Saccharomyces cerevisiae S288C: one gene and its partners. The protein of the gene in region 4 purifies or fractionates together with the protein of the main gene of each other region. This does not show direct contact. Each region holds a gene or a part of one and is shown on either strand. Other genes may lie near its edges. The genes, in order: SGD1, MPP10, NAN1 and UTP5.

The links.
Region 1: the proteins of UTP5 (region 4) and SGD1 purify together in Saccharomyces cerevisiae (affinity purification with mass spectrometry, with the first as the bait; 2 studies listed by BioGRID). This does not show direct contact.
Region 2: the proteins of UTP5 (region 4) and MPP10 purify together in Saccharomyces cerevisiae (affinity purification with mass spectrometry; 3 studies listed by BioGRID, with this or other methods). This does not show direct contact.
Region 3: the proteins of UTP5 (region 4) and NAN1 purify together in Saccharomyces cerevisiae (affinity purification with mass spectrometry; 4 studies listed by BioGRID, with this or other methods). This does not show direct contact.

The regions. Positions count from the first base shown.
Region 1 is NC_001144.5:799,197-808,061, forward strand, and holds SGD1 (Sgd1p), read right to left. Parts: upstream 3,201-8,865; coding exon 501-3,200; downstream 1-500. Other genes in the region: nucleoporin NUP2, read left to right, coding at 1-396; VRP1 (Vrp1p), read right to left, coding at 3,457-5,910; 60S ribosomal protein uL10 RPP0, read left to right, coding at 6,691-7,629; SPO77 (Spo77p), read left to right, coding at 8,189-8,865. UniProt on the Saccharomyces cerevisiae protein: Involved in osmoregulatory glycerol response, probably through its interaction with PLC1 which regulates the expression of GDP1.
Region 2 is NC_001142.9:435,166-441,146, reverse strand, and holds MPP10 (rRNA-processing protein MPP10), read right to left. Parts: upstream 2,283-5,981; coding exon 501-2,282; downstream 1-500. Other genes in the region: MRX12 (Mrx12p), read left to right, coding at 1-153; AVT1 (Avt1p), read right to left, coding at 2,537-4,345; PRE3 (proteasome core particle subunit beta 1), read right to left, coding at 5,221-5,803, 5,920-5,981. UniProt on the Saccharomyces cerevisiae protein: Involved in nucleolar processing of pre-18S ribosomal RNA. Required for the early cleavages at sites A0, A1 and A2 during 18S ribosomal pre-RNA processing.
Region 3 is NC_001148.4:306,238-314,871, reverse strand, and holds NAN1 (Nan1p), read right to left. Parts: upstream 4,663-8,634; coding exon 1,972-4,662; downstream 1-1,971. Other genes in the region: karyopherin KAP120, read right to left, coding at 1-1,484; HHO1 (histone H1), read left to right, coding at 5,268-6,044; TBF1 (Tbf1p), read left to right, coding at 6,651-8,339. UniProt on the Saccharomyces cerevisiae protein: Involved in nucleolar processing of pre-18S ribosomal RNA. Required for optimal pre-ribosomal RNA transcription by RNA polymerase I together with a subset of U3 proteins required for transcription (t-UTPs).
Region 4 is NC_001136.10:1,264,347-1,272,192, reverse strand, and holds UTP5 (Utp5p), read right to left. Parts: upstream 4,723-7,846; coding exon 2,791-4,722; downstream 1-2,790. Other genes in the region: URH1 (trifunctional uridine nucleosidase/nicotinamide riboside hydrolase/nicotinic acid riboside hydrolase), read right to left, coding at 108-1,130; HPT1 (hypoxanthine phosphoribosyltransferase), read right to left, coding at 1,460-2,125; negative cofactor 2 transcription regulator complex subunit NCB2, read left to right, coding at 5,295-5,331, 5,424-5,827; SXM1 (Sxm1p), read right to left, coding at 6,035-7,846. UniProt on the Saccharomyces cerevisiae protein: Involved in nucleolar processing of pre-18S ribosomal RNA. Required for optimal pre-ribosomal RNA transcription by RNA polymerase I together with a subset of U3 proteins required for transcription (t-UTPs).

The DNA of each region.
Region 1 (8,865 bases), on a different chromosome or scaffold from region 4:
ACCCCAGAAGAATCAAAGCCAATAAACTTGCAAAACGGTGAGGAAGACGAAGTGGCTTTATTTTCGCAAAAAGCAAAATTAATGACATTCAATGCTGAAACCAAATCGTACGATTCAAGAGGCGTAGGCGAAATGAAGCTTTTGAAGAAAAAGGACGATCCTTCTAAAGTGCGCCTACTTTGTAGGTCTGACGGTATGGGTAATGTATTACTAAATGCAACTGTTGTAGACTCCTTCAAATATGAGCCTTTAGCTCCCGGAAATGATAATCTCATTAAAGCTCCTACTGTTGCGGCTGATGGGAAACTTGTAACTTATATCGTCAAGTTTAAGCAGAAGGAAGAAGGCCGCTCATTTACGAAAGCTATTGAAGATGCTAAAAAAGAAATGAAATAAGAGTAAATACAGTTAACAATTTTAAATAGAATAGAACCCTCATATTTTGTAGCTCAAGGTTATAGTTGAGCAAATAAAGAATACAAAATTTATTCCAAAAAACACTACGAATCTATATTTTCCAGTTCTTTGTCTATAATAGATTTGGCAGCTTTTGAAGCCCAAGCCAATCTTCTTTCATCCCTATCAAAAGCTTTATCTCCTTTCTTTCCTGCAAGGAAATTATGGTATCTAAATTTCTTGTTAATAAACCACTTCAAACCTTTGAGAATGAATAGCATATTTTCCGATTTAACGTTCTTCGTTAAAACATCGCGCAAATAATCATCGGAGTAGATTATACGCTTATTTCCACTTTCATCCATCTTGAGTTTCTTCTCACTTTTTTTAGCTACAGTTAAAAATAACTGAAATAGCAATATCTCCATAAATAACATCCCTTCTGTGTTTAATCCACCCATAAATGGAACATGCTTGAAAACATCTAATTTCAAAATGTCATTAGCAAGCAACGATCCAAAAAATCTCCCCTGATTTGAGATGCGAAGCAGTTTTTCTTTATCATCTAAATCATCTTCTTCGTCAGTATCGCTTTCAGAATCGAATTCTTTGTCTTCAAATTTTTTTATCACATCCCAGAATAGGAATTGAAACGACTTCGATAAATGGCTATACCTTTCACATATTTTGTTCGCGACCAATGCGTAGTAATGATTATAACCATTGGATCCACTATCAGCCAAAAGACAATGTAAAACAATTCTTGGAATTTCAAGAACTTGCTTATTTTTCAAGCTTAACTTTTCAAGTTTACTAAATGCATCCAGGTAATCTTGTGCAGACATAATACTTATAAATATAGCCCTTCGAATGTCAGTATTCATACGCTGTTGTCTGGCGATAATATTCCAATCTGGAATATCATCAAGAAGATCATCCTCGATTGAAATTTTAGATTTCTTGGACTTGCTGGCATCATTTTCATTATTGATCGAAACTTCAAAAGCATTTTCCATGTTTCCTCGCCAAGAAGCACCAACCAGCCACCATTTCCCCTTGGAATCAATGTTTTTAATGTCTTCCAGAGAAACCTGTAAAGGCTCCCAAGAAGAAGAAGAATTCAAAATGCTTTGCAAGTTTTTCTTTAATGGATGATGATCAGTCGCCAAAATAGAAGGCTTTAACCTGTTGTTTTTCAAGTCAGACATGGTATCCATTAAAAATCTCAATCTTGGGCTCTGCTCTTTTAAATTCTTGGCGTTCTTCAACAGTTCTGATCGTATATCTCTCAGGGCGGATGGATCATCACCCCGGATCAGTTGTCCTGAAATCGATATAATTCGTAAAAGTAACTCAGTAGTGAATTCATTAGGATCTGCTACAAATATTCGAATAATGTCATAGATTAAGCGACACGAAACAAATCCAAAATTATAACAATACGATAGTAAGGTTGCAATATTGATGCATATTTTAGAGGAAATTTTGCTCTGCTGATCCTTTAATATATTTTCCATTTCCTCTTCGTAATGATGCAGAAATGCCTCTACCGTTTTTTGAATGAAAAAAGCACCCACCTCAATACCTCTTAGTTTTGATAATGTATACGCAAGAGCAGCATAATTCATTATAAATCCGTCCAACAACTTCTGATTTTGGCTTATAATATTCAATATCCCTTTCGTTAACGATTCTGTAACGTACTGCCTAGGCAGGGAATCATACAATCTGTTTAAATCAGTGATAATAATAGTAATATTGGAGTCTGAAAGCTTATTCAAAGAGGAGTTGACCTTCTTGCTAATTTCAGACAAAGTACTATTGTTTTCACTATCATCCAATTTCTTTCTCAGTGATGGGGGAACATAGCTCTCTACAGATTGTGTGGGAGCTACATAGGGATTTTCCTTTTCTCTTCTATAATTATCATCCGAGTCCGCAACGCTGTCGTTATCAGATTCACTAAGCCCATCTGAGTCTTCAAAATCAGAAGCTGAAAGATCATCATCCGAGGAAAATGCTTTCTCGCTTGCTTCATCATCTTTTCTCATAGAATTAGTTTCTGTGGCAAAATCTCCATACTCTTCGTCACTTTTGCCATAATTTTCAAAGTATTCCAAACCTTCAAGAAGTCCACCAATAGCATCAAATTCATCTTTTGCATGTATAGCCTTCCTTTCTCCTTTCAAGCCCAACTTTTTTGCGTAATATTGCATGTCCATCTCGTCCCTTTCAAACGCTGATCTGTCTGAAGGGGCCAGCGGATAACTCACAAAATTCTCATTTGTATCTCTGTTACGAATATGTTTCTTTTCATATGAGTTACCTTTTATTTCTCCCGAGTTTTCAGCTCCTTGTATACCCTTTGCTTTCCGTTTCAATGATTCTAGTTTTTTCATTGTTTCTTCCGCAGACATTGCCTGCTCACCGCTTTCTTCTGCTACTTCATCAGTAAGCACTTCGTCACTATCCCAGTTTTCATTACTTTCTGATTCATCTGAAGAAATCGGATTTTTACCGTTAGCCTGCTTGCCTACGTTTTTCACACCTGCATTAGCACTCCTCTTTTCGGACGTTGGTGCTGATTTTAGCCGGCTGGAATTGATTTCTCTAGTTGATATAATTTTACGTTTCTTGTCGGCCCGTTCCATCTTTCTCTTTTCTTTACGGCTTAAATGTTTGCCATTTCCTCGTCTTCTCTTTTTTCCTTCTGAAATAGAAAACCTTTCATCTTGACTGTAGTCAAGAGTCTTCAACTCGTCCAAAATAACGCCTGGAATTCTAATACCATCTGTTTTTTGCATTGCCTCAATATTCTGCAGCTGTGGACTGGCTATCTTTAGTTAAGATGAGGCTTCGTAAGTAAGTTCAGTAGTCTTGTAAGCTCATCGCATTTTTTTTTTTTTGCTGGATTTTATATTTTTCACAGCGAAAAGGACGGGAAGCTAAAAGATTAAAAAATAAATATTGCAGATACCATATGTAATTTAGTAAAATATTTTTATAAAATATTATTATTTTCTTGTTCTTCAGTGATTTATTGTAACCATGGAGAAATGCTCACGTAAATAATGTTAAGTCCAATGGCACACTACTACCCTTTCCACTTGGATACAGTTTTGTTTTATTTTGAAAGGGACGTGGCTTAGGCATTTGTGACACATTAGTCCATTTAAATCTTGAATCATCTATAACAATTCTTTCATTTCCAGATTTGGCCCCAACGATAGAATTCGATCCCCCTATCGTATACCTACCTACATCAACATCTGGTTGATTTGTATGCGTATTATGCTTGTGTTGCAGCGTCGATCCACCTGTAGAAAATAACCGTTGTTTAAGGTTTTTACTGGGGCTATTAGAGGTACCGGTATCCATCGTAGATGGACTTGGTGGTGGGGGTGGCGACTTAGTGGGGTTCTTCGAAATTGATTCAGTTTCGGTACGAACGGAAAGTGTAGGCGCAACAGGAGGAGGTGATGGTATTGATGTAGACACGGATTGCTGAGGCAGACTTGGTGCACTAAATGTTGGCAATGGCGGAGCAGCTGCAACAGGAGGAGAAGGAGGTTTTTCGAGATTCGAGGAGGGAAGAACATCGTGTAATAAAGAAGCGGCGGGGACATTATTCTTGCTATCATCTGATAAAACTGGTGGAACTGGTGGAGGTGGAACGTGTCCAGGCAGTGCAGGGGCCTTTGCTTTTTTCATCCCTAACACAGTCTCACTCTTATCATTGGTGTGGTCATCACCTGATGCAGTTGGAGTCGGTAGCGATGTTATAGGAGGAGGAGGTGCACTAGGAGGCAAAGGAGGCGCCATAGCATCCGTATGGGGGGGTGGTGCGTTAAAAGCATTCGATGATGTTTGCTTATGTAATTTGGATTCAATTTCATCCAGAAACGACATACCATTTTGGCTACTCTGTTTAGGCGGGTTTATAGATGGAGAAATAGGAGAAGGTCTTACGTTATCATCCTTAGATGAACCTATTACATCCTCTTGTTTATCTTGGGTAGTGTATCCAGTATCACCACCAACCACGAATCTATCATCTCTCTTCTTTTGGATCTCAGCAAGAAATGGTAAGGGTCCCCCAGGTGTTACGGCCGAGGAAGAACTGGATGAAGATATTTTGGATTGCTTACTGGACGCTGAGGGTTTGTTTGTCGTGAGTGTTGGAGGAGGAGGAGGAGCCGATGGTACTGACGTTGCAACCGAAGGAGGAGGAGGAGGTGGTAGTGGTGCTAAAGGAATAGATGATGCTGACAAGGCAGAGGATGTTGAAAAAGCACCAGGTGGTGGGGGAGGAGGAGGTGGTGGCGCGGGCATTGACGATGCTTTGTTAGGAGGAACTGATGTAGTATTTGGTAACGGTGGTGCTAAAGTTGGGGGAACCGGGGTTGCTTTTACGCTGTTAGTCGACGCAGAGCTCATGGCTGCTGGTAGTGGTGGTGGAGGCGGAGCTGGAGCTGAAGTTGCTTTTTTAGGTGCAGAGGTCACATTTGGTAACGATGGTGGAGGTGGTGCAGTAGGCGGTAATGGCGGAGCATGTGATGTAGGAATGGGCGGAGCAGATGATGGAAGTGGTGGTTGTGAAGGAGATTTATGATTTTCGGTTTGAATCTTTGTGGAAGAAACGCCCTCGACGGCTCCTCGTTCAGACCTCCTGGCATTAATTTCTGCCAAAAATGGCAACCCGCCTGCAGGAACTTCAGAAGATGGTGGTGAGACTGCGTTATCTGTAGGTTTAATGTTTTTTGAGTCCAGGCCAATTGTTGGAGTTGGGGGAGGGGGTGGAGCTTGTGGAGGGTTGCTAACATGTGTTGGCAGAGACGCTGAAGGCAAAGGGGGTGCTGACACACTAGGAAGAGAAATATTAGAGCTTTTTCTTTGGTGGCTTCTGTGTGCTGGCCTTACTGAAGGCATATGCGGTCTATTTTGCGGTACCTTTGGAGCAGAGGCACCTGATAATGGAAGCGGTGGTGCTGGAGATGATGGTACAATGGGAATAGGAGGGGCCGCAGAAGATGGAATATCAGGAATTGGAGGTGCAGAAGACGAGGGAATACTAGGAACAGCGGGTGCTGGTGATAATGGTGCATTAGGAATGGGGGGAGCCGCAACAGATGGCACCGCGCCCGGAATTGGCGGTGCGCTCGCCGATGGAGAGGGTTTAGTGCTTGCATTGTTATTGATATGTTTTAACTTCGGTATACCTCCAGCTAAAATATCGCCCAACTGCGGAGCGCCCATCCCAGGGATTGGAGGAGCTGACATAGAGGGTCCTTTACTACTGACGGTACCAGAACTTCCTGAGGCCGATGAAACGACACCACCTCCCACGATTGGGGCACTTCTATCATTGGTCTCAGCTTTCTTTAGTTTCATTCCCTTTCTAATGTCACCTAACAGGGCGTCACGGCCCTGCATCACAGATTTTGCCGGTTTAGGAGCACTACCACCTAATGCTGGTGGAGGCGGTGGAGGAGGAGGAGCTGGAGCACCTGCCATTTCAACAATTCGTTATATATATGGTAGGCTTCTTCAACAAACGGTTGTGCGCTTTTTAGTCGTATGCTTTGTCTCATATCAAAAACTTTCTTCATAAGTTTATAATTTTAGATTTTGTTCAAGTATTTACTGACTGTGCGGATTATTCTTAAGGCCCCTATTTGAGGACGGCGGCCGCACCCGTAAGCAGTGACTAGGTTATGAACATTTCATTCTTTCTAAAGACGCTTTTAGCAAGCTTCATACAGGATAGTAGGATTTGAAGGCTAACATTGTGATTCCATCCTCTGTCAATGTTTCGTAACTTGAATATTTGCGACTTTTTCCATCTTTTGTGAGCTAAAATTTTTATCTTGCCCTTGTAATTTGAACTTAAAAGAGAATACAGCAATGTAGCGGACAAACCGAACATTGAAATTACCATTTTAATTGTAACTTATCTTGAAGGAGTTCCATACCGTATGTTATCAAGATACTTCTCAGGGCAATATCTACATTTACATATTTGCCTGCTTAACATCCGAACATTTCACATTTTGATTATTTCGAGAAAAAAGTCAAAAAATTTCTCAAAGAAAAAAGAAGTAATGCCGAACTGAGAGTGAATGCATCACATCGTTGCGAAAAACTGGTAAAAAATGACTTCAAGTTATAAGTAAATGAAAGATTAACAATATCTAATTCTCGATTCTTTTTTCAAGTTTCAGCCATAAGATACATAAGCGGAATACCTTTAAACATCCTGCAAACAGTCTAATAAATACGTATAATAAGTTTGAAATGGGAGGCATTCGTGAAAAGAAAGCTGAATACTTTGCTAAATTAAGAGAATACTTGGAAGAATACAAGTCTTTGTTCGTTGTTGGTGTTGACAATGTTTCTTCCCAACAAATGCACGAAGTCAGAAAGGAATTGAGAGGCAGAGCTGTCGTCTTGATGGGTAAGAACACCATGGTTAGAAGAGCCATCAGAGGTTTCTTATCCGACTTGCCAGACTTCGAAAAGTTGTTGCCTTTTGTCAAAGGTAACGTTGGTTTCGTTTTCACTAACGAACCATTGACTGAAATCAAGAACGTTATTGTCTCTAACAGAGTTGCTGCTCCAGCCAGAGCTGGTGCCGTTGCTCCAGAAGACATCTGGGTTAGAGCCGTCAACACTGGTATGGAACCAGGTAAGACTTCTTTCTTCCAAGCTTTGGGTGTCCCAACCAAGATTGCCAGAGGTACCATTGAAATTGTTTCTGATGTCAAGGTCGTTGACGCCGGTAACAAGGTCGGTCAATCTGAAGCTTCCTTGTTGAACTTGTTGAACATCTCTCCATTCACTTTCGGTTTGACTGTTGTTCAAGTTTACGACAACGGTCAAGTGTTCCCATCTTCTATCTTGGATATCACCGATGAAGAATTGGTTTCTCACTTCGTTTCCGCTGTCAGCACCATTGCTTCTATCTCTTTGGCTATTGGTTACCCAACCTTGCCATCTGTCGGTCACACTTTGATCAACAACTACAAGGACTTGTTAGCTGTTGCCATTGCTGCTTCCTACCACTACCCTGAAATTGAAGATTTGGTTGACAGAATTGAAAACCCAGAAAAGTACGCTGCTGCTGCTCCAGCTGCTACCTCCGCTGCTTCCGGTGACGCTGCTCCAGCTGAAGAAGCTGCTGCTGAAGAAGAAGAAGAATCTGATGACGACATGGGTTTCGGTTTATTCGATTAAGAAGTGCAACATGAATTATTAAGTTAATTTCATATATACTATTTTATAATTAAATAACATTAATCCTCATTGATTCATTTTATTCATGATAATGTACTGTCCGGTTCCTTGCGCTAGCCTGAGTTAGTCTCCGAATACCTGGCGATTTTCATATATTCTGAGCGGCTCTGGACACCTAACTGGATAAAAATACTTCCACTTAATGTAGTTTGGTTTTCTAGTTCATACGGACTATTTCAAAGTTCATGATTTGATGAGAGAAAGTAGCTATACTATCTTCCCAATTTACGCTTGTCTCTGAACAAAGGTTTTTATCCTTTATATGCTTATTGAAATACTGAGAATACCAAAAGTTGTCTTTTTCTCTACTATCGCTTGATTCTTTCAAGACGTCGGATATAAGAAATGTCACAAAATCAAAAATAGCTGCGAGGAAATAATGAAGAAAAGTAAAAGACGAAACTACTGCTTCGATGAGAGGTGAGCAGAAGCTCCCATAAAAAAAAAAACCTATCTTGCAGTATTTCTATGTTCCTTAAGAGATCAATAGAAGTAGAATATGTTTCGAAGGGGAGATAATTCAAATTTTAACGTACAAAATAGCTTCTTTCTTCCTTTGGAATACGAATATACCGTAAAAGATAATGTACCTTCAAAAAAAAAGAGTAGTATAGGTTTTTTTCCATTAGATGATTCTTTATTCACATCAAAAAACAATTCAGGGCACCATAAAAGCGAACAGCTCCATCGCGGTAATGCAGAAACTATCAGAAGCCAGTTTGGAACTGACGCAGTTCCGATAAGGATCGATGAGAAAGAAGGAAAGTGGGATAGAATTCAAGATGATAATTCTTCTAATTTAAACTACCAAATTAACAACAGTAATGACCCAGCTTCGAGTGGTAAATATACCCAGAGTATTGACTGTAACCATATAGCGGAGTCAAAATTTTCAAAAAAAAATGGAAACATTGATAGTCTTCGTTCAAACTCAGCAACTTTTATGCTAAATACTGCAGATGAAGACGTGATAGAATTTAGTTTTGACGATAATGTCCCTTATGCTGAGTTATTATCTGGTGCCACCCTTGAAAAATGTTCGTTGACTCTAAATGAAATAAACAAAAAACTATTCAATACGCTCTATGACTTTCGAGTAAGCAAAGATAATCCCGAAGAAAATTTGGTAGAACTAATACTTCCGAACTGCGTGGTGTTATTAAACTTTTTTGAAGA
Region 2 (5,981 bases), on a different chromosome or scaffold from region 4:
TTTGATGGCGCACTAGGAGAAAAGCTGATATCAGGGCCGACTGCTGCAAAAAAAATAAAAAATCTCTTAGCCCAGTATGGAGAAGCGTTAGAAACAAAAACAAGCAAACAAGTTATGCAGACTAAGATAGAACATTATATGGAAAGCATATAACTTACTAATTAACATTTTATTACGTATATACATCTACATTTATCCAGGAAAGAACGTCATAAATAATACTAAAATTAGCTATCTTCCAATACCTCTTGTTTCAACGATACTTTAAATGACAGCCAATTACCAACAAAAAATTATTCAGCACATTCTTCTGGTATTTATGAGTGTATATGTTCCGCATCTCGTCATGAATATTTCATGATGCACTTCATTTTCTTTAAGTGGTCCTTTAAGGGGTTAATGACATTACAAGGTCGATATTCCATAAAAAATGCTGGGTGAACAGAGTTATGAAGAAATAATTTTTTACCTAAATACAAACTAAGTCTTCTTCGGCGTGTTCAAAGTTTTATATTTGTGCTATCTGGCCCTGATCTGCTCTTCTTCGTTTTACCGGAAACATCTTTCTTTTCACCCTTTTGATTGATAACAGTAATATTCTTGGCTTTTGACAAAGTGTCAACAACATCATTCCTTTTAGATCTTTTGTTTACATTTGGCAAATTAGCTTTCGATCTTTTTCTTTTCAAAGCCCTGCGCAATCTGTTTTTATCTTCTCTGGTTAATTCTTCCTTAGACATTGCAACACCATTCTTCAAGCGAATTTCTCCGTCCTTTTCTGCTTTACCGACATTGTATATCTCTTGAGGAGCCAAAGAAGAGGCATTCGACATATAGAGAGGTTGAGCATCCTCCATCGATATAGTGGGTGTTTCAACTCTAATTTCCAAAGAAGTACTTGCTGGCTTAGGAACGAAGTGCACTGATGAAAGCACATCCAATTTATATACCAAGTTAGCATAAAGTTCTGATATTTCGGAATGTGCCTTTTGAAGCTCTTCACTTAATGCAGATTCATCTTCAGCGCGTGTGTAGTCATCCTCATATATTTCTGCTAACGACTTCGAGGATTTAACATCACTCAATTCAAATTGAGGCCGTTGAGACTTACGTGTGATGTCTAACAGGGTTCTTCTTTGAAGGTCGTCAAAGTTACTGTCCTGTATCCTTCGTCTAATCATATCTTCTAATGATTCTGTGACCTCACTTGTTATAACAGGAACAGGCTTTGCAGTTCTGTCGAATTCAAGTTCCTCAGTGAGCAATGCATCTTCGGGACGATCCTTTGCCTTTACTTCACCCTTCAAAGACCATTTCTTCTCGGCAACCGCTTCGTTTTCCAATTGTTCTATCTGTTTTCTAATCTCTATTTGTTGCTTTTCGAAACTAGATAAGTTCTTGTCACTGGCTTCTCCCACTCCCTCAGCATTCGGTTCATCTTCCTCATCCGCAAATAAGTCTAATTTCACTTTATCCATGGCAGAATCATGCTCTTCTTCATCCAATTCTTCATCTTCTTTTGGATCTTTTACGTCAGAGTGCTTCTTCACAGGTTCTTTTGTGGGTTTGTCAAAAAAGTCTTCATAATAAATAGCCTCCTCCTCCTCGTCATCTGAAGGCATATCTTGAAAATAATCTATATCTTCATCCTCACTCCCCTCAGAAGCTTCGTTAGAATCTTCTGCAGCTAAAGTATCCCTATTGAACTTTTCGAGATCGAAAAACTTATCATTGATACCATAAGGATCGGGTGAAGAATGCCTTTCATCTTGCCCAGAAGAAATTCTTTTTTCCTCCGCAAATTCTTCTCTAGCTGCCTCTGCACTGGTTTTTTCGTCATCCATACTAGGTTCTTCATCGTTCTCGGAAAGACTATCATTACTCTGCTCCTCAATCTCAGAAACATCAGCAGAGAGCATCTGCTTTTCTTTAAAAACACTTTCTGCCTCCTCTAGTTCACTTTCTTCCCCGGATGATGAGTTCAGGGTGCTACCATCAGAGAGATTGTGAGAAGGCGTGACAACATCTTTGAGTTCTTGAATTCCTTGAATTAGATCACCATCAATACTATCAAGAACTAGTTTGACCTGCCACCAAACTTGATTGGCGTCTAAACCATCAACAGTGATTTCGTCCAGTTCTGCTTTCTTTGTAATACTCCCATTCTTACAGGTATTGATAACTGAATCTATATATGCTTTAACATCTTTAGAAGTGGCGGAGGGGTCCTTCAAAATAATTCTGCCAGCATTAGATTTCAATACTCCAAAGAGTTCTGACATTATACGACTTTCCTTGGGTCTTTCGTGCACACATCATTTATTCATAACAAAACACTGTTTCTTCAAGAGCTCATCGCAAAATTGAAAATTTTCTGCTTCCCTCGCATGCCGGCGGCCAGTACAGAAAAGGCGGTGAATATTTTATGGAAATAATTCTACACGAAAATATGTATATTACGCAATGGTTTTTCATTATCAGAAGTACAGAGCTAATGTAAATGAATTTTAAGTAGAGTAAGTATGCCCCTCGTCGATTATGAAATAATTGCAGCACCAACACCTAATGTGGACAACACGACACTAATACATATGGTTACGTGACAAGCCACTCTCTCCCATGGTTTGATTGTTGTCTTGCACAATCTTAAATAGAACCAACACGGCAAAATTAGGCAAATTGTAAAACACAAACCGGCCCCCAGAAATGCGATAATCTTATCAAATTCAGGGAAATTAATAGCTATCAAAACGAAGACAACATTAATAAAGATCCTATTGAATACTTGAAGGCCTTTCGCAGCTCTTCTTTTTATGGCGCTGGCCGCTTCATCTATGTGTTGCACATTCATCAGAACGTCCAATACAGAAACGATAGGTCTTGCGTTCAATGGGGTCTTTGCGATAGGAATGATAGTCATAAGCGCTGAAATCAGACCATAAACGAATTTTGGATATCCCTCCGTCAGCAAAACGTTCTTAGTAATTTCATCTTTAACAAGATTTCCAAACATCAAAAAGCCAATAACTGCAGTACCTATGTCCGTAACCGATGTTATCTTATAGGTAGTTTTCAAACAGTCTTTAAATTTATCTGGATGCCTCATATCTGTCTTTAAGTTGGGAAAAACCGCATGTCCTCCCCAGCAGGCACTCAATAAACCTATAGATAAACAGAGATGCTTTAGATCTATCGGCCACATGCTCGTTTCCATCGGATTAACTAATGAACCTGGAGAAGACGACTTGTATAGTCCGCAGCAGCAAATGACTAGCACAGTTCCGGTTGTTGAAAGGATTCCCAGAAGCGAGATATTAGATAGAACACTCAATGGTATAAAAACCGGGGGTGTAACGATAAAAAATGAAACTATTTTGAAAAAAGTGGTGGAGTATTGAGGAAATAGAGCATTTAAAGAATCTCCGAAGAGAATCACCAAGGACACCCCACTACCCAGTAGGTCAAGTGTGAAAAGAGCAGAAATTAGTGCGCGCCCTTTTGTACCAAATGCTGCATATCCCAAGTCCGCGTAAGATATCAAAGTTGGATCTGTATCTAGGCACCTAGACAAAAGTTCAGCAGTACAAAATGTCGCTAAGGCGAAGATTGCAAGCATAGTAAGTCCTATAACCCAGCCGGCGTATTTCAAACCAAGAGGTAACGCCAGGAGCCCAATACCAATCAGTACATTGATTGAGTTGAATATGGTCTGTGGAGCGGTCGACTGACCAGCAAGAAGAGTTACTACCTTACCATCTACACCCTCCACTCTCTTCACTACAATTGAATCCATGTCATTATTTGTAAACCTTCTCCCCGCTCCACCACTCATCATTTCTGTTAAGGAGGCAGTAGGGCGTAATATTGACCCAGAATCCCCAATTGTTGAATTTTGGATGGACCCATAATCATCATCGTGAATAGCCATGCTGGCTGTACTAACTCTATCGTTGTTAGCCAAATTAGTAATGCGCGGGCGACCAGCATTATTTAAAGTTACTGATAATCTTCTACCGTCCAAAGCTGGTGCTAAAGTATCCGGATCGTAGGTTTCATCGTTACTCTCTTTGAAAAAGGATCTTTCATTATCCGCATTTAGCTCGATATTACGAAACGAATTGGCTCTCCTCAACGAAGTCGCAAATCGACTTAAAGAATTAACTCCCTTAAATGAGCCCACAGGATGGTCCAATATGGATTGCCTACGTGTCATGAACCCGTCAGACTGAAACTGTGATACAGAATCATCTGGTGAGAATGCGGAACCTCTGTTCAATGGGATTGAGATATAGTGAACCTCAGAGCGCTTACGGCCATTGGGACTCAATGGTTCTTGCTCAGGCATTTGCGTCTCGGAATCAGTTATACAGAATACGTAAGTCTACGTAATGACTCCCCGGTGTTACCTTTTCACTGTAAAATTTTTCTTTAGAACTACACAACACAACAATATTTTATTTATTTATATTCTCGATCTATCGCTATTTTCGCCCCTCGGTAAAAGAGATAAGAAAAAAAAAAACGCGATGAACAATAGCTAAAACAAAACAGATGCCTAACCAAGACGCGTTGTGTATAACAAAATACCAGTTTAGTTGTTGTGGATGCTTATTCTATTTAGGATGGCCAAAGAACCTACAAAAAAATAAAAAAAAAATAATATTATACTCGTTCTCAACAACTCTACTAATTATTAAATAGGATTATATTAGAGTAACTTAATCACGTGTTAAATAATTAATTTACTTTAAAATTTATTTTTTAATATAAAATATTTATTCTTTTTATTTAAAAATAAAAAACACAAAAAAACAATGTTTATGATTTCCGAACCTAAATATACACTTTACGAGAAGAAATGATTTTCCGGTAGTTAACCTTTTTTTATAGATACGTAGATACAGTCACCATTTTTAACATTGCACACAACTGTACGAATGCATAGATAAGGTAAGCCTTCCAGGACTCCGAAGAATTAGTGAATCAATCTCACATACGTTTTTATACAACAAAAAAATGATTAGTCGTAAAATATCTTGCTTACGAAATTCCCTTCTGAGATACTTTGTCGTTCTAACAGTTAGAGAAAAAAGCGTAAAGCGAAGAGAAAAAGAGAAAGAGGTTATAGACTATTATATGTTATATCAGTGTAGATCCAGAGGCATTTGTTAACAAATATAAAGAGAAGTAATCACTCAGAATTTGTTCTTTTGGGGTCTATTATAGTTGTTCATATTCATCAGGGTAGAATATCAAACGTTCCACACCAGCAGCTGTCAAAACAACCATTCTTATAACACCACCGGAAGATCCGTCCCATTTAATGGCTTGCGATAGCGAATGCTTTATGAAATCTACGGTTTCTTCCTTTGACATATTTTCTCTAAAGTTTTTATCACAATACCCATATATGAAAGTAGAGCCAGATCCTGCTATCGCATAAGGCAGCTTATGGACGGAGCCACCCAATGGAATAGTATATACTTCCCCTTTGTTTTTGTCATCATAACCAGCCACAATTATACCAGCAGTAAGGTTATCTTTATTTTCGTAACATAATTCTTTGAACACCGAGGCAGCAGTCTCTGTGGAGGGGGTACCATATTGAGAAGTATATAATTCCAAATGGTACTGAACAATGTCGGCAATCGCCTGCGTGTCTGCTGCAGAACCGGACCTACAACACCAAATTTTGTCATGTACTCTCGTTAATTTATCTGTCACACGGTTAGCTATGTACGCACCAGTGGTGGTACGTGAATCAGCACCTAGTATCACACCATCCTTAAATGTCACGGCCATACTATTTTATTAGGTGATTATAAGATACCTATTAGTTAGTAATAAGGCCAATTGAGACTTTACTTCATTGAACTTTTAGAAACAATAAAGTGGGAGGAAAAATTCTTATATACATACATTGAGGTACCTAAACTGACTTCGCCCTTTTTCAAACGATTGATGTCCACTTGAATTCCATT
Region 3 (8,634 bases), on a different chromosome or scaffold from region 4:
GCTTCTGGTAAAAAAACCTGAATTAGTAACCTGTCAAAATCTACCATTTCACTAACAGCGGATGCACTTAATTGGAAACTTGCATAAATTGCGTCTTTCCTTAAAAAATCGTCTAATGAGTTTGATAGCTTTGAAGCATCATTTTCAATTTTCTTTAACAGGTAGGGAACCAACAGCTCAGAGAAAGTATTCATTAAGTCTTGAAAAACGTTCTCTGCACATGGTCTGATTTGATATTCGTAACTCGTGGCCATTTGTTCGTTTATCCATTCTTCTGGATCCATAAACCAATTTTCTAATTCAGTTGGTCTTAACCTCAAGTACCATTCCATTAAAGTGTCAACCAACCTTGTTATCAAATTCTCATTCAGAAATTCTGTGTTGATTTTGTTGATAGAAGCATCTATGGTTAGTTTATCACTTCTTGCTTTTAACGTAATTGCCCCCTTTTTGTGAATGAAATTAATGACCCTTTTCAAAATTAAAAGCCCTCTAATAGCAGTCTGTTCCCAAAAGTCCCCCGTGACATCAGAATTCTCTCTATATACTTTAGGGGCCTTATCGAAAATTAGCCTAGTATAAGTGATTAGAATTTGCGTAGAGCATGGCAGTAATATGAAATTAGCCGGAGAGCCAGTGACTAAATTGAAATATAACTTTCCTAGGCATTTGATAAACTTTTCGTAAATATCAAACTTTTTGAAGTTTTCATGGTTTGAAATTAACATCTCAAAGTGTGAAACGGATAGTTTAATAAAATCGCAAACAGACTGATCGGTTTGAGGGCGGTCGTATCCTTCACAAATTATCCTTCTGAGCACTTTCAAAGCTAGGTAAGAAACTTGTAAACTGGAAAGATCCTCGTAGTTGAGATTGGAGGATGTCGTCCATTCTTCAAATGATTGTAAATAAATCCTGACAATTAGTGGTAATATCAAAGGAACTTTACTTTGCATAGCGGGTCGGCACCTTCCTATTCTCGCAGTACCTAATACTTTAACGATTTGATTTATATGCATCAATATATTGTAAATCTTAACTGAATCTTTTCTGATGATCTCATCGTTCAATAGGTTTTCTAGATCCTCAAATAAGGTTGGCCACTCTACGGGAAAATCTAGCCTTGCAATCCTTGCGGAAGCTTGGGCATTCTGAATACAAAGTTGATTATTCTGTTCATCGATCATTTCAAAAAGACGACCTCTTATCGAGGCTTTTTCATCTTTAGGTATAGCGTTAATTCTAGTGGATCTCCAGTATTTATCCACGCCGTTCTTAAATTGAATTACCGCCAACCATCTAATTTGTAAAGAATTAGATAAATTAAGGTAGATTGACTGTAATAAGTAATGAAATCCCGCTTGAGTCTCCCATTGTCTTAGTTGTTGTTCGGCTAATTTTTGAACATCTGACCTAATATGTTGTGGGTTACTTGCTTGTTCAAGTACTTGAACCAAGTTTAACTCGTTAAGAGACGAGGCCATTTTTGTTTAACGCCTTTTAAAATTTGATTCGGTTGACAGTTGAGGCAAGCTAAAAAGTTAATAGTTTATGGTGCCTCCTTTTTCTTAAACACAACACCTACCAAGAAGTTTGACAAATATTAAGCTACCCAATTGTTTGAAACTTCAATCTTCTTACATGGAAATGTACGCTATAGAAGTGTAATTCAAAAAAAAAGAGGCGGCTTATTTGGAGAGATTATTTTATTCATCTTGACTGAGGATGCTCATCAAACAAAAATCGTATGAAGAGATTTTTTGTATATTATGATAGTTCTATTAACATTAATGATTGTGAAGCTTTTTACGAAGTGTCTGTTCCTATTAACCAATGCATTCTCTTCCCTTCCCTTGTAACTAAGTTATACAGATATTTTTGCTTTCGGTTTGCTTTATAAACATATATATATATATATATATATATATACCTTTATATCTATTTTGGATATCCAATGGAAGAACCCTAAAGCTATGTTAATACTTTCATCACACGATCAAAAAATGTATCCATTTGCACGTTTTGAATGTTGTCAAACATGCTCGTAAAACTATTCATATTGACTAGCTTATCTTTCTTTTCGCCATTTATAAATTCCAAAGCGATATCTTCTTCATCTTCGTCGTTATCATTGGTATTTTTATCTCTAGTGTCACTTTTTTTGCCCCTAGACGACAGTTTATGCAATTGTTCTGCAAAAATATCGCTATTGGATGCCGAAGTTGTGATGGTGTTACTTACCAGGCCATCCAATATTCCTTCGTTATTAACTTCATCAGATAGTTGAGTATTCACAGTGGTTCCGACAACACCTAGTGTTGATTCTATGTCCAAAAATATGAAATCAGTATCATAATTCCAACCAATCCAAGATATGTATTCATGATGCGTAAAATTACCCAATTTTGTAGATAAGTCAGAATCGAATATAATAATACGGGATTTGTAATTGATAGTTGGTACGCCATCGAGATCAGTTAGTTGTTGATTTATAACCAGGGCAATGTTGCCTGTCCTTTCGTCACAAGTAATAAGCCTATCCATGTGACCATTTTTATACACTCCGTTAACAAACGGATATAAGTCAAAACTATTTATGACTTGACCCCGCAATAAGTTGATGGCGTTTAATGTAGTCCTGGTGGCCACTATTAAATTTGTGTCATTAATCAACTTGACGGTTTGGATTTCAGAGTCTAACGTGAACTCACTGACCGTCTTTGTATTTTCCAATGATTCAAACTTTTTAAAAGTGTCGAAATCTAAAATTTGCAACTTGTCATCGAAACCATGGAATATTAGAGACCCGTCTTGAGACCAAGCTAAAGAAACGGAGTTACTGAAATGATTAAAGTTTGGTAAAGAAATTTTTTTCAAGCACCAGTTGCTCTCATGAGAGTCGAAGGACCAAAATTTCAGTCCACCGTTGTTGTCAGCCGTTAAACAGCCTTGACTATTATTAACTGATCTTGGTGAAGGCAATATCTTGGTAATTGGGACACTTATCCCGTGTGGATTTATTACTTTCGTTTTCAAATTCCAATTTGTCTCATTATCGTTTTTGGTCCAAAATTTCAAGATATGAGTTAAGTCCTTGGAAGATAAGAGGTCATTTGGCGGATACTCAATTTCGTATGTAATCATCCATTGCCCATCTTTGGTGAACTTCAAATCAGTTATTATTGGGTCTTGTAAATTCAGTTCAAATCTAACTTTACCCATAGAATTGTTGACACCTGATGTTAAATACTGATAGTTAACTTGCTCATTTTTATAGAAGTCAAAAATTTGAACAGCAGAAATGTGTGGGAAATACAAGTTCTTGTTAATAGGGTTTATTTCTACATTAGTGGTGAAATCTTGTCTTCTCGATTTAATTAGTTTTCTAGATTGTTTCTTCTTAGAGTGATTGAGAGAGGTAATTGAGTTGGAGTTCTTGGTATTCATGGCCGAGATTGGTTGCTGAATGTGTTTTATGGTGCTATTGAACACCGGTAATGGCCCGTTAATCGACAATTTGGAGGTCAAATCAGAAGCATTCAAAAGTAAAAATTGGTAGTCAGAATTTGAATTGTTTTCAGTCATTTGTAGGATTAAAGAGTAGTAGTTCCCTTGAGGTCCCAATACCTGACAGTCGATTATAATACCGTTCAAACGAGGCAGGAATTGTTGAGAGTTTGTTTCCAATTGCCATAAACTCATAACTTTTTCCCAACCACCAGATAGCAAATAGGATCCATCGTGAGAGAATGAGAGTGACAGCACAGAGTCTATATGCCATTTGAGCAGTCTTATTTGTAGATCGGCCAGGCTTACGATACTTATAACTCCGGAGGCAAATCCAACAGCCAGTTGTTGACCCATATTGTCTATGGCCATGCTAGAAACGTACCTTGTGTTATAGGATAGGGATTGAGTCTGTGAAGAAAGGATGGAACCGAGGGGAAAGCTTAAATTTACAGAATCATCAAAAAGCGAAACAACTGAGATGGATTTGTGTTCGTGATCTTTTGTTGAGACGTCTTTGCACATATGCGCTAGCAGTTTACCATTGGAAGAAATATTTGACAAGATAACGTTGTGCCATTCTGCCTGATGAGCCACTTCAAATTGCTTTTTAGCATCGTCAAAGGTTAATGCATATAACCTGTACGATTGCAAAGAGTTATGTGCCTTTTGACTAGGGTCCTTGAACGTTGTCAAAATTCTATAGTTGCCCTCGCTATGGAAAACATTTGCAAGCTTTTCATCTGCCAAAGAGATTTTGAAATGCTTAGGGGACTCGACCAGCTTCCCCTTATAATTTAAAACAATTACATGACCATTATTGGTGAATACGGTAATCAGATGAGCGTCTTCTTGTTGCGGAACGGTTATATCACCCAGCAGAATCTTTACAATCGATTCATTATTCTCTTCTTCTTGCAGAAATATTCCGGATAACAAGGAGTTATTTGCAAACTTTAGAGTCTTAACACATTGTCTAGTTTCCACAGAATACACCTTGATCTGATTGTTAAAGGGTATAATATAGTTTCGTTGGTCTTGTGATAGGCGGGCGATATTCTTATTGCCGGTTACTGAACTGAGATTATTCAAAGCGGGTTTCCCACCAGATACGACTGACAGTTTATACTGTTCGATACCTAGGGATTGCGTCATTCTGGTGATCAGCTAAAATGGTTCTGGTTTGTACTTGTAGTTCCTGTGACGACAGCCAATATAACTGATATGTAAACTGTGCCAAAAATCATTTGTTCGAAAAATTTCATCTCATCTCATCGCTAGGAAAAAGAAAGGAAAATTTTTTTCTAGTTTCTCCTTCTCACATTTTACATCACTTACCACGTACCCTAAGCAGTAGGCCGCCTTAACCCTGACGTGCTATTTTGTTACCCTACTGATGTGACCGCTAGATTTTGACATGCCAAGCAATACAAATCTCCAAGAAGTTGCTGTTTGCTTTGATGAAATGCTATTCTGTGTCAAAAATGCCCCCTCCTAGGGACTTGCGTCTAGGTAAAAGCTATTCTGCACAATAACAGGTTTGATGGATGATTTTTGTTTGTTCTCTTTGGCTTTTCATTTTCGCGTCGCGTTTTCTGCTGTTGTTTGTTTTTTGTGTGGAAAAGCGGGCGGTCAAAGTTTTTTGTTTATCTGCCTTTATTTAAAGAGGAGGAGCAACTATAGATTTGGGGAGTTGTTATTTATGGGCACCTGATAATGCTTGGCAGCGAGGGAAGCAATTATAATACAACTAAAGCAACATGGCACCCAAGAAATCCACTACCAAGACCACAAGTAAGGGCAAGAAGCCTGCAACCAGCAAAGGCAAGGAGAAATCAACTTCCAAGGCCGCTATCAAGAAAACCACGGCAAAAAAGGAGGAAGCTTCCTCCAAGAGTTACAGGGAGTTGATCATTGAAGGGCTCACGGCTTTGAAGGAACGTAAGGGATCCAGTCGTCCGGCACTCAAGAAGTTTATCAAGGAAAACTACCCGATCGTCGGATCCGCAAGCAACTTTGATTTGTACTTCAACAATGCCATAAAGAAGGGTGTGGAGGCCGGCGATTTTGAACAGCCAAAGGGACCCGCTGGTGCTGTGAAACTGGCCAAGAAGAAATCTCCAGAAGTAAAGAAAGAAAAAGAGGTCAGTCCAAAACCCAAGCAAGCCGCCACTTCTGTGAGTGCAACCGCATCAAAAGCGAAAGCCGCATCCACGAAGCTAGCGCCAAAGAAAGTAGTGAAAAAAAAATCGCCTACTGTTACCGCCAAGAAGGCCTCTTCGCCTTCTTCATTGACCTACAAGGAAATGATCCTTAAAAGCATGCCTCAACTTAATGACGGTAAGGGCTCCAGCCGTATCGTTTTAAAGAAGTATGTCAAGGACACTTTCTCCTCCAAGTTGAAAACAAGCTCAAATTTTGACTATCTGTTCAATAGCGCTATCAAGAAATGTGTTGAAAACGGCGAGTTAGTGCAACCAAAGGGCCCCTCCGGCATTATTAAACTAAACAAGAAGAAGGTCAAACTCTCCACGTAAAAAGTGAATATCCAAACGAGAATGTCAATGGTGATAGCAATACTATCAAACCTATTTTCTTTCTTCATTTTTGTGTCCCATCACTATTAGTATTTTGTATTATTTCTAAATTTTTTTCTCTCTAATTTTCAATCTTATTCAAGTGTTTGTTGGCGGTACTGTAAATTTTCATTTTTTAATCTCTCCCTTCTCTATTTGTTACTTATTCGGTAAATATCTCCTTTATGATTTTATTCAAATTCCATTCTTAACTAACTAACTATACTGTTTATAAATTTCTCTTCTCTTATATATGCAAGGTACAGTGTGTAAAATTAATTATTGTATTTGAAGAAAAGGCTTTAAAATCTGAACATTTGAAGCCCTAATATTCTGCACCGTGCCCTATTAATTTTCGCCCCTTTCCGTAGAAGCCCGGCGAGACCTCATTCCGACTAATTTTCCTCAATGCTTTGCCCTTCCTTGTAAACATTATAATAAACAATCATCTCAATATTGGCGTTTTGCTCCTATATCCTTGCCAACATTTAAGATTGTGGCTGTCCCATCTGCGACAGAAATCATTTTACATTAGTTTTTCTTTACTCACTTCTTTCCCCATTTGTCATGGATTCGCAAGTGCCCAATAATAACGAAAGCTTAAACCGCTTCAATGACATCATCCAAAGCCTGCCTGCAAGAACTAGGTTGACCATATGCTCATTATGTCTGCTGGACAATATCTCCACTCAACTACTGAGGTTTCTTATCCTTAATGCCAACTCTCCCAATATTATAGCGGTTTTGACGGACCAGACGGCTTTCCTAAGCTCAGGCGAAACAGAAATTTTTCAAACGTTAGTCAAGCTCTTTAAGCAGATCAGAATGATTTACCACACCAGATCTCCGTTACTGTCTGTTCACGACGTGGCGCCTGGTTTATGGTTTCCCAACTCCCCTCCCCCCCTTATATTGAGAGGCCACGAAGCGTTTATTATTACTGCCATAAGAAAGGCGAATCTGCTAACATTTCTATTGACGTCGCTGAACTGCCTTAATTACGGGTTTGAGCTGCTACAGTCGATATTTCTCGATATTTTCTGTCCAAATACAAACACTGTCGGTAACAACTCCCTGGAACAAAGCGGAAAGTTTTTGAAATCGCAGGCTATCCTATATCTTGATCTGAAAACACAGGCTTACATTGCCGGCTTGAAAGAGTTTCAGGACGAGACGAACGAAATTTCTTTAGAAAAGAAACAAGAGCTACTAGACTTAATCTTCCCATCCAATCTGGCTGATATTCTCGTGCAGAGAAGAACCGGCGATTCTGGAGACATTACACTTTTGACTCCATCGGAGAAGGACTTCGTCGAAAGGTGCGATCGTCGGAGAGAAAATTTAAAGATCGTCCAAGATTTTAACTCTCTGACCCAGAGCTACGAATGGGCTCAATTTATCAGAGAGTTGCTGGATTATTGTAATAAAAATATGGGTCTCATCATATGGGGCAGAAAGGGTCGCGGAAAATCACCATTATATGACTTTGATGTCAACGAGTTTGATCCTCAAGTACTCTTTTCTACAGGGACCAGGACCGTAGAATTCATGGACGACCAAAATCAGCCAAGCAGTGCGTCTGCTTTTTTGTCAACTGCTCGTCCGAATCATTACAGCACACATACACCTACCACAGATGTGTCTTCCAAAAACCCCGCTATCACACAATCCATTGTGGATGCCGCTGTTGCGGCCTCGATGAGCAACAGCAGCTCTGGTCCTCATTCCTCTCATAACAACAGCAGTAACAGCAACAATAATGGTAGTATCGGATTAAGAAAACCAAAGGCGAAAAGAACTTGGTCCAAAGAGGAAGAAGAAGCATTAGTGGAAGGCCTGAAAGAGGTTGGCCCATCGTGGTCTAAGATTCTAGATTTATATGGTCCCGGTGGTAAAATCACGGAAAATTTGAAGAACAGGACGCAGGTACAACTGAAAGATAAAGCCCGTAATTGGAAATTACAATACTTGAAGAGTGGCAAACCATTGCCTGACTATTTGATAAAAGTGACCGGTAACTTGGAGAAAATCTACAAGGCAAAGAAAAAATTCTCTCAATCTCCAAATTCGTCAACTATTATGGAACAAAATTTATCTCAGCATCCTTCATCAGCTGCATCTGCTACTGAAGACACTCAAACTCATCAAGAGGATTCACATGGGCAAAATAGTGATAATATGCCATCTAACGGACTTTTTGGCAATAGTACATCGGACAATACAGGTTTTGATCCTCATTTAGAAGATGGGATGTAGCGCGCTTAAATGAACAGACTTCTAATTTTCTATTGAACCACTCACTATTAAAAATACTTTGATGGGTTGTTAACTTCGCATTGTTTGGTTCCCTAGGTATATTCTTTTGACGTGGTCACCCTATCTTCTAGCAACCTGGTCCCCTCGTGTTTTTCTTTTTATTCTTTTTTCTTTTCCATTTTCTATTACATTGGAATGTATATATTTGATGTTCTCATTTTCTAAAATGAAAACTGTTGTATAATTACTTAAAATCCAAGATAAAAATGTGTTGTAATAATATGTGTTTGGTAAG
Region 4 (7,846 bases):
ACAATCGCGACAACTTTTAGTGAAACTTCTTTGTATCCAGTGAAAATGAAAGGAACAGAACCTGACCAAAGGTCAGTAGAAAAAAAAAAAGCCTTTTATAGAAGTTCTTATCCAATCGTTGACATTTTGTCTGCTCTATTTAATGCTTCAAAAATCTGATCCCAAAAGTACTGGATATTCAAATCGAGACCAATTATTGTACCAACATCACTGTCATTTGGATATTCTTTTTCAATGATAATTTTCCCTGAGTTTTCGTTGAAAACATCATCAATGCAGGATATGTCCATTCTCTTGTAGCGAAATCCAACCGCAGACGATGGATCCCACCCATAAAATTCCAAAAGCGGCATCAAAGCTACCGGATCATGTATAGGTGGGCCCGATTCAAATCCTTGCATATCCTTGTAGGTATGAGCAAAAAATTGAAAAAGCTCCAAAAACAATTCTCGTAACTTGCTGTTATTCTTTTCGTTGTATATCATTTCGTTAACCTTGTAAGTAGCTATGGCCTTGTGAGTTAAATTTAGAGGAACTACTATACATTTGTCCTTTACATCGGGATCACGGAATATGTAATTCGCTGCGTCAGGATCAATCCAAACGTTGAATTCAGCAGAAAGATTTGGGTTACAGTTTCCTAGACCATGGAGTCCACCCCCCATAATGCTAATATATTTGACAGATTTTTTTAGGTATGGTTTACACCTAAAAACTGTTGCTAATGTGGTAAGTGCACCAGTAGACACAAAGGATATCTCTCCATTGTTAGCTAGAATCGCCTCTTCAATGGCCTCAATATACGTTTTATCAGTTCTTGCCTCAAATGTTGGCTTAGGTAGCAAAGAAGTGCCGTCTAAACCTGATATACCATGAATGTCAGGAGCATAATGAGGTTCCCTTTTCCAAGGTCTCTGTGCGCCTTTATAAACTGGAATCGCTTGTGCTTTGCCCATCGCAGTCAAAAGAGAACGGGCGTTGTAGTCAGTATTCTCTGGCGGTGCGTTACCAAAACACGTGCTGATTCCTAGAAGATTGAAAGCTGGATGGAAACAGCCTAATAAAATGGCTATGGCATCATCATGACCAGGATCACAATCTAGCCATATGGGTATTTTACTAACAGTCATCTTTTCTTCAAACAGTCGCTGGTTATTGCTGTCCAACCCTTCCCCAACCTTGCAGATGAGGGAAATTATCTGTTTTAATAAGTTTCGTGAGGTAAAAAAATCAGCAGATTCCATCAAAAGTAGTTGTCACGTATGTGTCAAATATCGCGTTACGTGGTGGTGAACAGAGGGAAAACGTAATCGCGCCTCACAGGTTACCGGTGAGGCTAAGGGAATAAACTTTGAGATAATAATTAGTTATACGTATACATATGGTCGCAGTTATATGCGTTGTCTATTGTACAAATTCTGCTGTATGATTCAAGTTACTGAAGGATATGATATGTCTATCATTGCTTGTGTTCCTGCTCAGGAATAAAGATGTCATTGCCCTGTTCAATAGCCATTCTAGTATGGAAAACAATGTCAGTAGATTCCCATGGATATGCATACCACTTGTCTGGAACAGTTTTAGCTGCAAAATAACGGTTCTTGTCATTCAACATTTCGGCAGGCAAATCTGCTTTCTTTGGTTTTTGCTTATCGTGTAGAACAAAAATCCCGAAGTTTGTTTTCATCTCTGGAGACTTTTCAGTATCGATACCTTTAGCCTTTGCCTGTTCAGCTGCATCCTTTTCCAATTCACTCAAAGCGTAATGAAGTGTGGTACGGGTGTCATCGACTTCGTCAACGATAAGAACGTTCTTGCCGACTAGATCTAATTTACATTGCTCGTAATCAATCCATTGTGTTCTGCTAACCTTAACACCAACTTCCTCAACTTCTGAGCCTACACTGTTCAAATCTTCGTACAAAGACAAAATAATAGCAAAAATTCTGATGGTTGGCACGCCGGGCTCCTTTAGGAACGTACGTAGGATCCTAGCAGGAATGAAACCACCACCACCAATGGCAATGATTAAGTCCGGCTTGAAATTCTTAATTCTCTCAGCGGATACTTGACATAGTTGATGTACGTTGTTGTACGAGATGTATTGCTTATCGTTTGCCGACATTATGGGAACGTAATGGATATAATGAACACGAACGGTAATATAAAAATAAGAAAGATTACAAGGCACTACATCGTATTACTCCAGCTAGATGGAGACTAAAATAAAAAAGTTACGGCAAACCAAACTGCGAAGGGGGAACAAAATCTAACGGAAATTGGGCTTATCAAACATGTTTAAATAGAAAATTCTATAGCAGCTCATCGCTACCCGATTTGGGACAGATGGAGGGGGAAAAATTTTTTTTCCTTTTCTTTCCTAGTAAACGCGAAATATAGAGAAAAAAAATGAAAGAAGTCAGATAAGCGGAAATGATATTAATTGAAATTAATCTAATTAATTTTTTCAGAAGAAAAAAAAAATAAGTGACTCGGAAGGGAAATATGTACTGTCTTTTCTTAGTTAACCAACTATGGTTGTGACGTAAAAGTGGAGTGCTTGCTTGATGTTCCAGATGGCCTTACTGTTAACGATGCCAGATGCAGTTCAAAAAGGATAAACGATTGTGGGGGTCTTTTGACAGATCTTCTTCGCGTGGGATACTTTCGTGATCTTTTTTTTTCTTTTTTCTTTTCTTACATTATGTGGTGAACTCTATATAAGTATTTATGTGCCTAGAGATTATTTTTGTATTCTGATGCGTGAAAGCATTTTATGCATGATATCCTCTATTCCATCTCAACGTCACTATATCCGGCTTCCTCCTCGCCGTCGCTCTGCTCCGTTTCTAAACGGCCATCTTGCTTAGATGAGGTATGCTTCTGTTCCTCTTCGTTGTCACTATCACCTTCTTCTTCTTCTTCACTGCCATAAGATTCTTCACCGTCCTCTATAAGGCCGGCATCATCGAGTTCTTCGTTATATTCAACGTCGTCTTCGTCCTCTTCGACAACTGGTTCGGATGAGTGGATGTCGCCTGCTTCATAGTTCAAAGTTTTGAATTTATTTATAGTACAGTCTAACCTTGCATCCAGTGCTAGTAGCCTTGGTAATAAGTCGGAACGCCTTTTCAAGGTGGAATGTAACGACGATAGAGTAGACATCAAATTTGGAATAGAAACCAAATAGCCACCGTGTATGATTAAACACCATTTTACCCAAACATTCAATGGGCCTTGACGGTGGGTTTGTCTTGCAATCCTCTCTGCCAACCTTTCTAAGAGAATGACAGCCAGTGCTGGTTTCAGACGGAAGATAGTATCCCTAATGACCCTCTCGTCACGATTATTGAGCACTGTTTCCAACAGTGAATGATCATTTGATTGTAGTGCTTGCGACAGAATTACTGTTACCGTCCCGGTTGTCGTAGCAGTCTTGAGATTGGAACCTTTTAAATTTGTTTTTTTCCCACTAATCCTTGCGACGGTGCTTGATTCTAGCTTATCACCAAATGTTTCTGTTAATAGTTCATTGGCCTGTGGGGGCTTGGCCTGTTCTTGTTCCAAAGAAGTCAATTCTCTTTCCCAGCTCTTTATAGCGTCATCAACATGCTTGAAGTTATCTCCAGAGGTGACTCTTGCATTACCTTCCACGTAGTTGGTGGCTGAGGCAAGATCTTTACCGTGTAGATCGCGATCGGCGGACTTATTTTTATTATTCCAATTTAGGGAAATTTCGACGGTATATTCATTAGGGATTTCTCTCCACTGCAAGTTCTTGAAGTAAGGCATAGTAGCATTTTGTAACCACGATACGTTCAAAAGGTCTTTATTAATAAATGCGTTATAAATTGGAACTTTCCTGCCGTCTTTACTGACGATTTGAATCTTTTTGCTGGATTTTTTGGACTTGTTGCCTCTTTTCTTTGTTGAACTCGATACCAATGGATCAACAAAAATTTCCAAGCTACCATCCTCGGTAGTGACTGCGATAGAATCGGCTTGGCCTGAATGAGATAACTCCTTGATATCTGATTCAGCCACAAGGACGCATTTGGTCATACCGGAATGAATATCATATACGTTCAAGAATCTATCACCCTCTGCGCCTGATATGAAAAATTCATTAGTTATAACTTGCAATGTGGACACTGGAGATACATGACCGGGAAATGTCATTACGACTTTTTTCTCTTCGATGTCTATTAAAGAAATGGAATGGGATGCAACCAAAAGTTGTGCAACAGAATCGCCTGCTGGAACAATGGTTAGTTTATTCAATTGAACGCAGTTGTTTATTCTAAAATGTTGTAACAGTTTGAATTGTAACAGATCGAACTGATAGAATGCGTCGCTGGAGTCGATACACCACAGTTGATTACCCATCAAGTCTATGTCTTTGATTTCGTAAGAATTCCCCGTAGTGAATTTATAGGTGACTTCGTTGGCCAATACGGAATATAGCCAAATTTCACCGTTATTCATACCCAATATAATAGCCACTGTGTCGGAAGAAGCCAGGTTTACCCATTTTAAGCACGTCACCTTCAATTTCGAGTCCTCTAAATACAGAAAATTCTCATTCCACACTGTATCAACTCCGGAGGAAGTGGCCCTTTGAGTGGGCTGTACACCAACGCGTTGCTTGTCCAAAGCTACAGTGACATAACACAAATACTGACCTGATGGGTCATAAGCGGACTGTAGAACAGGAGAATCCATCGGTAATGAACAATTATAAGGCAAATGTGTCTTTTACCCTCTTGCTAAGCCAAGTTTAAACTATATATGCTCTGCATCTATCTTTACATACATATATCCTATCCAATACTTGTTAATTTTTTCACCTCATCGCTTCAGCTGCGAAAGATTAGAAAAAGAAATGAAAAAAAATTGGATAAAATTTTTTTGTCAAGAAGCTCATCCCCGTGTTAAATGACAATCAAAGAATAAGGGGAACTGTACAACACGTTCAACCAAAACTATTGTAAAGAAATGCCACCACTATGCAGCATAGCCTGTTCATGCGAATAGTCGCCGCAAAAATTACGATCTGGTTTAATCAGCTCGGGCTCTTATCTTTGGCGTATTCCAGTATGTGCAATTAACTCTTGCACCACTTTAAAACGCCCAGCCCGCTGCACTCTCCCTCCTATATAAATGGAAGCGGTTTTTGGTCGCGCTTTTCGCCCTCTGCTCGCCTTGTCGATTTCTATCGTGCAGAGTTACCAGTATAAGGTGGGCAAGAAATCATAACGATATTTACTAATACAGTTGTACCTATTAATTAATTGATGGCTGGAGACTCCGATAATGTGTCGCTTCCCAAGGGTATGTTAGTTATATTGTTGTTGCAAAACTCAAGCTTTGATGCGGGTACTGAGCGGTTATACTAACTTAGAGAAAACACTGAATGATCTTAGCGACCGTACAAAAGATGATATCTGAAATACTGGACCAGGATTTGATGTTTACCAAGGATGCAAGAGAAATCATCATCAACTCCGGCATAGAATTCATAATGATCCTGTCCTCGATGGCTTCCGAAATGGCGGACAACGAGGCTAAGAAAACCATAGCGCCCGAGCACGTGATCAAAGCGCTAGAAGAGTTGGAGTATAATGAGTTTATACCATTCTTAGAGGAAATATTATTGAATTTTAAGGGTTCCCAGAAGGTGAAAGAAACTAGGGATTCCAAGTTCAAGAAGTCAGGTCTCTCGGAAGAAGAGCTGCTACGACAACAAGAGGAGTTGTTTAGACAGTCAAGGTCCAGATTACACCACAATAGTGTATCTGATCCGGTTAAGTCGGAGGATTCTTCTTGAATAGAAGCTTCTAAACAAAGTAATGCTATATACGAAAATAAACCACATGGGAATATGTTAAGCGCATGCATGTATGTAATAAAAACGAAGACAAGTCCAAAAAAAAAAAAGAACGAAAAAGAAACAACTTTTATATTTGTATATTAGAGTATAAACTAATATCCTTATTTCAAACTATCACATTCCACTATTTTTTTTGTGTTCTCCTCAGTGTTGAGAAACAAATTCCAGAATTACCTGCAAGGAATCTCTCTTAGATTCATCCAGATAATTTATGATTTTTTCGTACTTACCGGCATCTTCGTTTTGCAAATTCTTGAAAAAGGTATGTACTTCCTGGAAAACATTAATTTGGTCTAACACTGTCTCCTTCATATCATCATCACATTCGATAAAGTATTCTTCTTCTTCTTCTGGGGTCAGGTCTCCTTCTAAGGATTTGCCCTCGGTAACAGCATCACGGTTTCTAATTGCCTTTGGCAATGATAATGTCAATTCCACCAGTTTATTGGTCAGGTTATTTAGTAGTGGGCTGACACTATTAGGAACTTCAGGCATCTTCAAAAGGGTTAAAATGACCAGGACTTGTAATTTGATGGCGAAGACACTGTAGAACTTTTCATTAAACCAATTGGTAAAGAAATTTATAGTAAAACCTTCATTTTCCATTATTTGTAAAGTTTCGATTGGTTTAGCAAACAAATTGGCCAGTCCCAGTTTAACGATGCATTTAGAGTCCAATCCTAGCTCATCATTAGTGGATACTTTGATGGCTTTGCTGAATAATGGAATGTCTCTCATGGACAGTGCGAAGTACATTAGAATTTGCATAACATGCTCGATGTCGTAGTCAACTTCACTTTCCAGTTTAGCAGAGAGAATTTCTAGCAGAGGTTGAACATAAGTTTGATCTTGTGGGAAGCCGGTCATCACGATGGTTTCAAAAAAAATACTGTAGGCCTCAAAATAGTCCATGGCATAAGTTTGGAAAGAATCCAATATATCATGTAACAACTCCCATATTGGTGGTGCAATTTGGTTATAAAGCAGATGCGAAGAAATAGTTAAAGCATCCAGTAAGTCGACAGCTTCCGTAATAAAAGAAATTTGTGCATGAAGTACAACAAACTTGACCACGGGAGCTAAGGACTCGATTAATGGAACTTTATTCATTGACATGACCATAGTAGTCATTGTTTGTAACAATCCACTGGCCTGGATTTCCTGCTCTTGGTCACTTGCGCTGTAGGTTTCCGATGGATTTTCTACCAATGCTTGAGCAATACGTAAAAATTGTTCGACTAGGTTTGAAGCTAAATCTTTAGCAAATGGGGATAGTTCATCTGAAAATCTCTCCACCAATGCTTCCATGACTTCAGATAAGATATCGATTTCAAAGATTTTAGACAATTTCAATAGCTTTTCCATCATACCTGGAACATGAGCAGAGACCGCTGGGTGGATTTGAGGATTGGATACAATTAAACATTTAATGGCATCTGCGGCCTCAATTTGGACTGGTAAAACGTTACTGTTTAAGAAGTTGGTATATGTTAACTCAAATAATTGTGACAATATGTTCATATCTTTAAATTCTTCCGAATACAGCGCTATCGTTTCCAAACTTCTTGCAACCAAAAACATGTACTTATCCTGCGATAACAATGGCACGATGAAGTGTCCAAAAATATTCTCCAGAACGGATGGCTCATCTATAAACGAAAACAAGTTAGACAATGTTCTCAAAGCACCCTCTTCTTTAAATGCCATGTTAATATCACTGGAATTGGCATCGAATCTAGTAAAAATATCATTAATGAACGGTAAAATATTGTTCAGTTTCTCAGGACGTTTGGACCCAATCAAGAATATGAAATCTGCTGAAGCAGCATCTGGCGTAGAGCCTTCTCTGTTAATGTCAAAATAACGCCTGGTATATTCCTCTTGGTCATCTTCTAATAATTCGATGGATTGTTCATTAGCACACAAACATGGGAAGATGACGTTCTCAAAAATAAT